Oryzias latipes: one gene and its partners. The main gene of each other region encodes a partner of the protein of the gene in region 3 in a complex. Links are inferred from orthologs where the notes say so. Each region holds a gene or a part of one and is shown on either strand. Other genes may lie near its edges.

Region 1 (4,231 bases), on a different chromosome or scaffold from region 3:
TCAGGGAGCGGCAACAAAGCCAACGGGGTCTATGATGGTGAGGACCGGACGGAAGGACACGGCTGTCTCACAAATGGACACCCTAGTGACATGTCTGTCTCTGTTCAGGTGAAGAGGAGGCCATGGACCACCAGGTGAGTCCTGAACCTGAGAATGGTCTGTCTGAAGAAGAGGAGGAAACATCTGACTTGGAAAATGGCTCAAAGGGCCAGAAGACAAAGCTATTCACTTTCAGCGTAGTCAACTTTTACGGAACAGCCAACATCAGCTCGCTACCTTGTGAAGGAAATGTCCTCAAACTCAATCGTTAGTGTTGATGTTTCACGCTTCAAATGAAATGGGCAGTTCAGCTTTTTTTTAATGCGGTTTGTCAACAGCATCTCCTGTTTCTCGTCCATGCAGCTCATTCCACCATAGCCATCGACTGGGACACGGAGTCAAAGAAGCTGTTCTACGACGAGCAGGAAGCAGAGGTCAGGGCCTTGATAGCTTTCAAATAGCCACATGCAAACGGCCTATTTATAGCTGTGTACATGTTGTGTGTAGGCCTATGAAAAGCACGAGAGCATGCTGCAGCCCCAGAAAAAGAAAACCACCGTGGCTTTGAGGGATTGCATTGAGCTCTTCACCACCATGGAGACGCTGGGAGAACACGACCCCTGGTGAGAACTCTTCAGCATCAAAAAGTTCCAGATGTTTCTACTGCCTTCAGCAGCTAATCTGTTTTTTATACATAGGTATTGTCCAACGTGTAAGAAACACCAACAAGCCACAAAAAAGTTTGACCTGTGGTCTTTGCCTCGCATTCTGGTCGTTCATCTGAAGCGTTTCTCCTACAACCGATGCTGGAGGGACAAGCTGGACACGGTGGTGGACTTTCCTATTAGGTATGGTGGGATAACTCAAGACTCTCAGGTTGCATTCATACCAAACGCGATTTGGCGGTTCAACACTCAATTACCCCCCCCCCTGACCTCAGATTGCTTTGCTGTGGTACATGGCGCTCAGAAATCTGTCAGTGTTTAGGTAAGGCCTTTGATAATCTAGCAGAGATTGGTGGATTCTTAGAGGACTGTGTTAAAGTCGGAGCCCCGAGGAGTGATGCGTACTTTCCTTTCACTGTGGAAAAAAGTGATAGTTTAGTTTCCTTCTTACTATTACGTTCCTTTTTGAAATAAAAACTTATTTTCCTTTCTTCAACCAGAGGTGGTTCTGCAGCTGCAGGTTGCAGACCCCTCCACTAGAGGGAGCTATGTACAGTTCACCTGAACCAGAAATCTCTCACGGAAACGCATCTTTCCAGAACTGTGCTTCATTGTGGGGTTCTTGTGCAACACTTCAGAGAACAGATAACGCTGTAATCTGTTTGCTTCTATTATTTTATGGCCGTTTGAAAGAGCCTTTCACGCCGCTCCCCACCCCTCCCCCACCCCCCGCGTTTGCTCAACACAAAACATCCTCAGTTGTAAAAGAGGAACTTAACCACATGACCAGGAAACGAGATCAGAGTGACTCCAAACTCTGCTCAGTCCTACTCTTCCTCATTAAATCTACATGAGTTTTGGTTTCAGCCTAACTGTCTTTTTGTTTTCTTTCTTTTTCAGAGATCTAAACATGTCCGAGTTTGTTTGTGACCCAAAGGCGAGCCCCTACATCTATGACCTCATTGCTGTGTCCAACCACTATGGAGGAATGGGAGGAGGCCACTGTGAGTCCCTGCTTATACTCCAGCCTCCTTTAAATAGCTGAATGAAAAACACATGAGGCAGGTTAAACCCATGAAACAGCAAAGAAACGTTATCACAGAAACTAGCCGCCATGGTAGAAACCTGTAGCTGTCTTCACTTCTGAGGGACCGTTGTGTTTCCTCAGCGTCTGTTTCTTTATCTAGTTAAGATCTTCCTTTCTTCCATCGTAAATGAGTGACCTGAACCAAAGTCTAACCTTTGTGTGAACAGACACCGCCTACGCCAAGAATAAACTGGACGGAAAGTGGTATTATTTTGACGACAGCAGCGTCTCCTCGGCCACAGACGACCAGATTGTGGTGCGTTCCTCTTTAAATTGGTGTTTTGGGAGGGCAGGCCTTGGCCCTGCTGGTGTTGAATGTCCATGTTGAGTAACTGTATCCCTCCTGTCGGTCTGCAGACTAAAGCGGCCTACGTGCTCTTCTATCAGCGCAGAGACGAGGACGCTCCCTCCAAAAGTCCGCCTTCGGCGTCGTTGGGAGCATCTCCGGAGGCCGCCGACGACCGCATGGACACAAACTGAGAGGCTCAAAGGGAGACGGACACGCACGGGGCGAACGGACACGTGGACACGCACACCATGCTTCTGTAGTGACGGACGGCTCCACAGACTTTTTATTAACCCCACCCTCCGCTTGAATCTGTCTTGTGATTTTTGGCTAAAGCCAACAGCCTGGAAGGAGCGGACGGTCTGCTGATTTATAGTTTTACTAGTTCCAAACTAAGAGGAATGTAGATTCTCTCACTGGATGATCATATTGTTAAAGTGCCCTCATATGTATAGATAAAAGGTTTGTTTCCCACAAAAATATTCTGAGATACTTAGAGAAAAAAGCCAAATGCACATTGTTTGAACCAAAGCGTTCGGAGATATTTATGTGAAAAATAAAGCAGAAATCAGCCAGATGCTGGCGCTGTGCCTAGATTGTCCTTGCTACGTGAAATGCAATCCTTTTCTAAAGGGAGGTGTGCGCTCAAAAGGAAACGAGTGACTCCTGAGGCCGAACTGTGGTTCAGCGGGACGCCCGGGAGGGGAGGGGCTCAGACCGCTTCAGCAGGTGACCCGCAGGAGCTGTTTTTGATCAGAATGAGAGAAAAACTGCAGAAAACAAGCAGGCAGGCGCCTTCCTGTGTTTAAAGGTAAATATCAACCTGCTGTATGCAGACGCCACAGAACTGGACGCTGTGGCCCACAGCATCCAAGGATGTGACGTGGGACACCTTCAGATCTTTTAGCTTGGTTCTATGCACACATGGACTGCTGCTTAGTTCTGTACAATAATGTACAGAGAAGCCATGTTCAAAACACACTGGCTAAAACAAGATAAACCAGGATGAACCGATGCTTTGATGAAACCTCGACTCGCTCCTTGACACGAGCAACTATCTGCTCATCTGATCTGGACTAAACAAGATCTTGACAGGAACAAACATTTGCATGATTTACAAACCGTTTAACTTTTTGTTTTCCTCTGAATTGCATAGAAAAAACTAAATCCAATCAAATCATGTTCATTATTTATAATGAAGGCAGTTTCCAGTTAAAATGTCAACTTTTCTTTTGCGTCAGAATAAACTGATCTAGAAAAGCTTCGTCACATCTGCCGTGAGTTTTTTTTCCCGTTTTATTAAAATGATCCGAAAACAGTTGAAGTCATCCTCTGAACCCAGTTTGTTTTTTAATTGAGAAATATTTCAGTTAATGTTGCAATAAAGTCCTGAAGCCTCAACCAAGTTGGTTTGCTTGTGTACTTTAGAATTTGAAATGTGGCTGTGCCGTCAGCGCAGCACAGATTGCATATCAGCTCCTTACCAAAGAGGCCATTCTGTTCAAACACTGCCTCCATTGTTGGATCCTCTTTACCAGCAGGTGAAGCAACCAAAAAAACCACCCAGTCATGCTGACTTCACAGGCTGGATTAGTGTTGGCACCAACCCAGAGGAGACGAGCATGTGGTGGGAATGACTGGTTTACCTGCTGATGACTGTTATCCCGTCCCAGGACTCATTCAGGCAGCACAACATTTGGTCACAAACATTTATTGGTCCTCAAAAAAACACCACAACTGTGCTTTACATGCAGCCAATGCAGCTGAAAACGTTTGAACCTTTCCATGTCATCAGACGCCCTCCTCACTCGCTTTCAGAGGATGTCTTCATGTAGTAAAGGAACAAAGCAGCCATCGAATGCAGGGAAGCACAGGTGGAGTTGGAGGGAGGGAGGGAAGCACTGGACGGCTTGAAGATGTTACTTGGTTTGGCTGAGGAGCTTCTTGATGTCTCCTTCCACGTCGCTGGTGAGGAACCTCCTGCTGTACCGCTTGAACGGCGTCCCATCCGGCCCCACCAGGAACTTCTCAAAGTTCCAGGCCACGTCGTTTCTGCACACCGGGCTCCAGATGATGAACTTGGGGTCGGTCATCAGGGGTGCGGGGTCATCGCTGGGGGTGGGGAGCTGCTCCCTCAGAAAGGCAAACAAAGGG
Region 2 (3,583 bases), on a different chromosome or scaffold from region 3:
AAGGTAGGGGTGGGGGTCTGGGGTTGTTCCCTCTGGACCCAGCGGGGAACCTATAGTCTCCGTACTGAGAGCGGTACTCGAACATGGACGGCTGTGCCGGCTGGACGCCCTGAGCGCTCAGTAGAGAGTTTAACATGTCAAAAGTGTCCTGGTACTCGTTGGACTGGACCCCGCCCGCTGCACTGTGGCCATTTGTGTCCGTCTTGTCACTTTTGGAGTGCGAGTACGCCCCTTGGTGGTGGGAAAGGCCCAAAGCAGGAAGCAGGTCGGGTCCATGACCCAAAGTTTGTCCAGAGGAAGCGGACAGGGACGGTAGTTGGTATGGATTCCTGGACGACTTGCTGACTTTGAGGGGCGGGTGGGAGCCGGCTGCAGGGTCTGGAAGGTGCGTCCTCTTCCGTGAGGCTGAGGATGACGAAGAACTTGTTCTAGAAGAGTCATTGGGAACTTTTTTACTGCTTCCTAAGCCCCCACTTGTACTAGAATGTTTGTGGGAGGACGAGAGTGAAGCGCTGCTGGAGGAATGGTGATAGTGGTGGTGGTTAGAGCGCTCCCTGTGCTTGTCCCTGCTCTTACCATCCTCCCCAGAGCCTGTCTTTAGTTTGTCAGGCACTCGTATTTTGACTTTAATGTCTGCATCCTGACCTCGGTCACTGCCACTTTGCGCACTGCTGCCGCTGCCGTGTCCGCCACCGCTGCCCCCTCCTGACCCAGGTACTGGATAACGCACTTTTAAAGAGCGGTCGTGTCTCTCTTTTTCCAGGGGGATTTTCAAAATAATGGGCGAGGGGTTAGACATGTCAGAAGAAAAGCTGGACTGCTGGTGGTGATGCTGCTGCTTCTCTTTCCTCTGCTGTTGGCCGATGAGAGCCTTCGCTGCATTGGCATATTCTCTCTTGACGCTGTCCTCCATGTTCTCAAGCTTCCGCTTCTGGGCGGCTAGTACATCTGCGTTCTTGGCCCGGTACTCACTCAGTGACACTTTGGCAGGAGCGTGGACCTCGTGGTTGGGCGGTAGTTCAGTTGCAGACGCACCTTTCCCGCTCCACGTCTGAGCGCTCCCAGGTGTGACCTTGTCGCCCGCAGATGAGGAAGAGGAGCCCGATGGAGCGGAGAGGCTCATGAGTCCTGCCACAGTACTTTCTGATGAGACCATGGAGATCATGCTGATCATGGCGTCTCTCTGTTCACCTTCCTCCTGGACCTTGGGCTTGACCTTTGGGGTCTGGCCTCCAGCCTGAGAAACAAGAAACATTATTAGGTCAGAAGTTCCATTCACACAAAAAGAGAGCGCTTGGCTTTCAGCAGGGGAGCCCAATCGGATCCATACGTCAGTGCACGTATGTGCATGTTTAACCACACAGAGTGCCAGATGTGTGATCGACCAGCCCCCTCTGCCTGCCATTGCATAGGCTCTGCTGGCACAGCCACGCGCCGGTTCCTAGGGTGAATGCCACTCCAGATTGCAGGAGCATTTGAAACCCACTCAGGCAGCAGTGCCGTCCAGAAGCATGTGCTTCTCGAGCCCCACCCATGAACCGGGCACCCGGCTGGGCTGCTGTGTGCACTCTGCCGTTGCTCGCCCACCACCCTGAAGAAAGCCCGAGCAGGTGGAGACCAAGAAACTGTGGGCTCCGCTAGCTTACAGGCAGAAACAAAGTCGTACCTTCCAGTTCCGAATCCGTTTAAGCCGACTAGGAGTTTTCTCCAAGATTTGCAGAAACTCATGCGTGAGTTCTGCAAAAGAGTTACAGGCTACAGTCACAAACTCTCCAAAGACGGATTTGCAGTTCTTTACACCATTTTTGCATTTACAAAAAAGAATAGTTAAAAAAAAAAACAACAGGATTTGTGAAGTACCGTCCAAAAGCTCCAAAGTAACCGTGGGATCAACGTATTCCCACCAGTGTTTGCCATCAGTGGAGACGGGGATCTCCCAGTTGGACCACTTGCATGCAAGATGTATGCACACGCAGGCCACGACGGGGGGGCAATACTGCAGGCAGAAGGTGGTCAAATGCAGACTGGGTGGCAGGACGCACGAAAAGAGAGAGAGAGAGGAAACAAATCAGCCCATTTCCACATCAAAATTCCCACCGTAAAGCCGATGTGAAAGGAGGGCATACCTGTTAGTTGCCATAAAGTAGGATGTTTGGGCCAGATCCTTGCTGGCTGCAATAAAACCAAAACAAAGAAACAAAAAAAGACCTTAAAGTCTGCAAATTAACAATTGGAGGTACAAGTTGTTGAATAGTGCCAAATAGACGGCATTTTTTTTCTTTATATACGCATATTGTGGACAAGGTGCTCACCTCTGACGAGCTGAGTGCACTTGACAACATGAGTGTGAGGATGATCAATGGTGATTTCAAAAGCTGCCACAAAAAGGGGGACAAGAAAAGAGAAAGACATCAGCTCACTGGTTGCCAAATTAAAACGTTCAGGTTTATTTGAACCATTTGGCTTCCACTGGATAGGTAACGTTACCAAAGACCCTAAGAAAAAAAACAAAAAATGTGTAATTATTCAAACAAAACGCCAAGTGGAGATCAACGTTTTATGAGAACTCTTCTCATGGGATCAAACCTTGGGCAAAATCAAAATATTAAAACCTAATCCACACAAAAAAGTAGAAGGAAAATTAAAAAATGGCCCATCATTTTCAGTTCCTCAAACATGTTCTGCTCCACGAAGTTGTGAAAAAGCATTCTTAAATTTATATAGAAAAAAAGGACGAAAATAAAGGACTGAAATGGTAAACGATAAAGAGAATGAAAGAAATGCGACTGAACAGTGGTGGAAATGCTTCTAACATGAGTTGAGTATGTGTTTTCCAGTGCTGATAACCACATTTGGAGTTTCTGGAAACAGAAAGCTGCAGAGGTCATCTCGGTCAGGATGATTCTCTGGAGGGAAAGGAAGGGTCCCAGGTTTGCCTCCCAAACTTACCCAAGGTCTGGAGTATTATGCTCTCAAGAATGACCAGGTCTTGGGCTTGTGTCAGGTAAGCCTGAGGTTGAGAGGACAGGCATGTTACTCTCCCAGACGCCTGCAAACTGTTGTCAAACAAGAGTGTCTGAGCAGCTCACTCTGTGGTCCTAGAAATGTTCGTCCATTCATGTAAAAGTCCACAAAGCGAGCGCAGACACTCCTGTTTTACAACCGATAGACATCACATCACCTGGGTGACTGAAACCTACACAATCAGACGCATTTTGACCCTTGCTCTCTCAACCCATAGGGAGCAGCGTCTCAAAAAAAAAAAACGTCAACAAGTCGGTCAAGTGGTTGTTTAAAGTTAACATGAAAAAGAAACCAAAGAGTTAAGAAACTCCCCCCGCCCCTCCTCTTATCACAGAACCATGGCAAACATTGTTCTTTCTAGAAAAGAAAAACTGGGATTAAGTGATGCACACAATTAAGACACAAGAACTGAGAAGACAGCTCAATGAAATGCAGTACACAGGAGAGCAGTTCAGATTTACAAGCCAAGCAGCGCTTTTGCAGTTTTTTTTGAAATGCAGGACAGACGAGTACTCATCTCACCGCCGTGAGACACTTACATCGCTGCGCACATCGGGCG
Region 3 (3,378 bases):
CAGCTGCCTGTTTCTGTTTATTTAGCATTTTAGTAAATTGGCCAATTAAGAAAGAAAAATGAAAACATAATTAAAAAAAAAGTGTTGCTTAGATTTTTGTCTTTTATTTTTGATCTTTTAGGATCGCCAGCTGAAGGTTAAAGACTTGGTTCTGTCCACTCATGAGCGGGCTGTTAGGAACTGCCCCTGGACCATGAGTCTGTGGAAGAGCTACCTGCTGGCTTTAGAGAGGCATGGAGCAGACCATCACACTGTGTCAGGTACCAGTTTGATTACCTGTGACATTTACCACATGTGTGATGACTAACTTTTAATTCCTTATTAAAATGGTTTTAAACAGTGGAGGAGAAAAAAGTTGTTAAAGAAAATGTTTTTTTCCTTGAAATTTTCATTTAGGGAGAAAAATCGAATGAATTAATTCGAATTTTTTGTTACGGGTGATTTAAAAAATAACTAAATTGAGTTTTTTTGCAACGGTGCATTTTTGGCTCCCCGGAGCTTCTGTAGCGTTAATTCACACGGCAGTATGACAAGCGACAAACAACAACATCATAGCACCACGAAACAGCAAGCGGCAACATGGCTACCGGTGAGAGTGGGAAGTTTGTTCCCAAGAAAGGAATAAAATCATCTGTTGTTTGGAACTGGTATGGGTTTGCTGCCACAGACGTGGAGGAAGAGACCCCCCCCCATGCTGCAACACTTGCCTAAAGCCCATCGCAGTCAAAGGCAGCAGCACCACAATCCTATTCCAACACCTGGAACAGAGACATCCAGCGGAATATGAAAAAGGCCAGTCTCTCTGAGGCGAACAAAACCGCGGTGACCAAAAAAACAGCTAACTGTAGCCGAAAATCGGAAATCAAATCAAATCTGAGATTTTATTTTTAGGCCTTATAGCCCAGCCCTAGTCAAAATAAAAGAATATTTGGTTACTTGCTAAAGTTAACAAATAGTAATTTTTTTTCTATTATTTCTATATACATATTAGAAAAAAAGCTGTAAATGTTTAATTCTTTACAAAGATGCTGAGTTATTAAAGTTGAGGAAGCACGTGTGTGTTAATGGGGACAGTTAGTTTATTTGTGTGTTTGAGTTTCATTTTCTTCTTTTGTCTTTTGTTCAGATGTTTTTGAGAAAGCACTGAATGCAGGCTTCATTCAAGCAACAGACTATGTGGAAATCTGGCAGGTGTACCTGGACTACCTGAGGAGGCGCGTGGATTTCAGTAAAGGTGAGAGCTGCTGTGTTCGTCACATTTGGTAAAATAAGAAATTGGAATCATTTAAACTCTTTCTTTAGAATCAAGCAAAGAATTGGAGGAGTTACGAGAGGCCTTCTCTAGATGCTTAGACTACATGAAACAAGATGTTGAAGAAAGTAAGTAAATCTATTGTTTATTTACTTTATTTTGTCAGTTGAAGTTCTCATTTAGCTTTTTTCATCACTAACTTATATTTCGGTGTAAATTCAGGATTTGGGGAAAGTGGAGACCCTTCCTGTGTCGTCATGCAGATTTGGGCAAGGATAGAGGTAACTGGTGCTACTGCTTAAACCAGATTCAAGTGTGAAATCTTAAATTATATTATATTGGTGGTAAAAATAAAATAGGACTCAAGTCTTAACCAAGAGAATTCTATAAAACAATTTAAGATAAATTAAGTGAAAGCTGAGAATTTGGTTGTTGAAAAATGAAGCAGGAAGTTTTGATTGGAATATTTGAACAGTATCTTTCAAATTTTGGGATTTTAATTTGGCATTAAATTCTTTTTCTGTTCCTCACCAGGCCCTCCACTGCAAGAACATGCAAAAAGCCCGAGAGCTGTGGGATAACATCATGACTAAGGGGAACTCCAAATATGCCAACATGTGGTTGGAATACTACAATCTTGAAAGGTTTGTTTGGTAATCCCCCAAATCCAGAGAGAAAAACACTTTGCAGCAGTGACAAGAAGCTTTCTCTGAAAACCATAGATCTTATGGGGACTCTGTTCACTGCCGGAAAGCTCTCCACAGAGCAGTTCAGTGCACCACCGACTATCCGGAACACGTCTGTGACGTCCTGCTCACCTTTGAAAGGGTAGAAGGTGAGTCTCATGGTAACACAATTTTACACCTCCAATCTCATGTCAGCATTATATAATCAACTCTGTTGCTTTATTAAGTTAAATACAGTTAGTGGTATATGAGATGAACTATCTAACAGATAAACTAAAGATCTCATAGCTGTTAGAGATTGAGTTATTAATTATATAAAGGTTCCATCCAGGTTCATTGGAGGACTGGGACACAGCGGTGCAGAAAACTGAGTCCAGGATGAACCGGATTAATGAGCAACGAGCCAAGGTAGGAAGGTGTTGATGTGTGTTGGACAGGATGGTAGCATCGCATGGAGCTAATGTTAGCATATCCGGATCATAACCTCCAAAAATCAGGCTGCTGAGAAAGAAGCCAACCAGGCTCGCCAAGAGGAGGAACGAGTTGAGCAGCGTCGGAAGGTCAAGGCAGAAAAGAAGGGTCTGAAAAAGGATCAGAGGGGAGCTGGTGAGAAGAGAAAAGCAGAACAAGAGGATCAGGATGAATGGAACAAAGACTCGGGTAAAGGTTATTTTAAGGAAAAATAACTTAATGTTTTGACAATGTTGTCACAAAGTTTCTCTTTTCCATGATGTTGTAAGGGCCTAAAAGGCGCAGAGGGAATGTAGACGGCACTACAGACGAGTACATGGAGACGGAGACCGGGCTCTTTGGAAGGAACGCTCCCAGAACTAAACCTTCAGCCGGCCTGAAGAAAGTCCCGCCTGGACACGGGGACGCTGCGGAGAAGCAGATCGACGACAAGTCTGAGCTCCGAGACGACTGCTGCAGCGTGTTCATCAGTAACCTGGCATTCACGCTGCAGGAGCCAGAGGCAACGCTCAAAGCGCTGTTTGAGAGCTGCGGTTCCATCGCCCAGGTTCGCCCCATCTTCGGCCACAGAGGAGTCTTCAGAGGATACTGCTACGTACAGTTTGAATCTCCAGCATCCGTTACTGAAGCTTTGAAGCTGGACAGACGGGAGGTGGAGGGGAGGCCCATGTTTGTTTCACCGTGTGTAGATAAAAACAAAAATCCAGACTTTAAGGTTTGTAAAAACACACATCAGATGTTTTTTCAAGCTATTAGTTTCCTTGTAGTAAATGAAACTATTTTAGATGCTTATACTTTTTCAGCTTGTTCTAATATTGTTTAATATTAAGTGTTTTTAAGATTTGTTGATAAAACGTTAATAATTTCTTTTTAAACGTGGTATATATATATTTTTTTCAGCTTTTTTTATTTGTAAAATTGTGTGCCAATAGGTGAACACTTGTTTTTTTCGTCTATTTTTTGTAGATC

The links. Proteins that work in one complex are often made in the same cells at the same time.
Region 1: the proteins of sart3 (region 3) and usp4 are in contact, whole or in part, in a crystal structure (PDB 5CTR), measured with the Homo sapiens proteins. The link is inferred for Oryzias latipes from reciprocal best matches to the Homo sapiens genes SART3 and USP4. Residues at the interface, in NP_055521.1 of Homo sapiens: Asp437, Ser438, Ser439, Lys440, Gln490, Arg493, Glu494, Trp496, Asp497, Met500, Thr501, Ala505, Trp511, Tyr514, Lys529, Arg533, Cys537; in NP_003354.2 of Homo sapiens: Met24, Thr27, Leu28, Ser53, Trp54, Glu123, Gly125, Leu126, Phe127, Val128, Lys129, His130, Cys131, Lys132.
Region 2: sart3 (region 3) and ccnt1 share a complex: the UniProt entries of both Homo sapiens proteins name them as parts of the 7SK snRNP complex. The link is inferred for Oryzias latipes from reciprocal best matches to the Homo sapiens genes SART3 and CCNT1.

Annotation. Positions count from the first base shown.
Region 1 is NC_019863.2:3,078,793-3,083,023, reverse strand, and holds the end of usp4 (ubiquitin carboxyl-terminal hydrolase 4), read left to right. Parts: coding exon 1-37; intron 38-108; coding exon 109-306; intron 307-402; coding exon 403-473; intron 474-546; coding exon 547-662; intron 663-737; coding exon 738-887; intron 888-1,604; coding exon 1,605-1,708; intron 1,709-1,958; coding exon 1,959-2,047; intron 2,048-2,148; coding exon 2,149-2,271; 3' UTR 2,272-3,476; downstream 3,477-4,231.
Region 2 is NC_019865.2:25,919,564-25,923,146, reverse strand, and holds part of ccnt1 (cyclin-T1), read right to left. Parts: coding exon 3,564-3,583; intron 3,011-3,563; coding exon 2,950-3,010; intron 2,376-2,949; coding exon 2,313-2,375; intron 2,185-2,312; coding exon 2,127-2,184; intron 2,025-2,126; coding exon 1,861-2,024; intron 1,738-1,860; coding exon 1,667-1,737; intron 1,238-1,666; coding exon 1-1,237. UniProt on the Homo sapiens protein: Regulatory subunit of the cyclin-dependent kinase pair (CDK9/cyclin-T1) complex, also called positive transcription elongation factor B (P-TEFb), which facilitates the transition from abortive to productive elongation by phosphorylating the CTD (C-terminal domain) of the large subunit of RNA polymerase II (RNA Pol II).
Region 3 is NC_019867.2:12,882,749-12,886,126, reverse strand, and holds part of sart3 (squamous cell carcinoma antigen recognized by T-cells 3), read left to right. Parts: intron 1-121; coding exon 122-260; intron 261-1,126; coding exon 1,127-1,234; intron 1,235-1,302; coding exon 1,303-1,380; intron 1,381-1,474; coding exon 1,475-1,533; intron 1,534-1,786; coding exon 1,787-1,896; intron 1,897-1,974; coding exon 1,975-2,087; intron 2,088-2,269; coding exon 2,270-2,346; intron 2,347-2,435; coding exon 2,436-2,598; intron 2,599-2,678; coding exon 2,679-3,124; intron 3,125-3,375; coding exon 3,376-3,378. UniProt on the Homo sapiens protein: U6 snRNP-binding protein that functions as a recycling factor of the splicing machinery. Promotes the initial reassembly of U4 and U6 snRNPs following their ejection from the spliceosome during its maturation.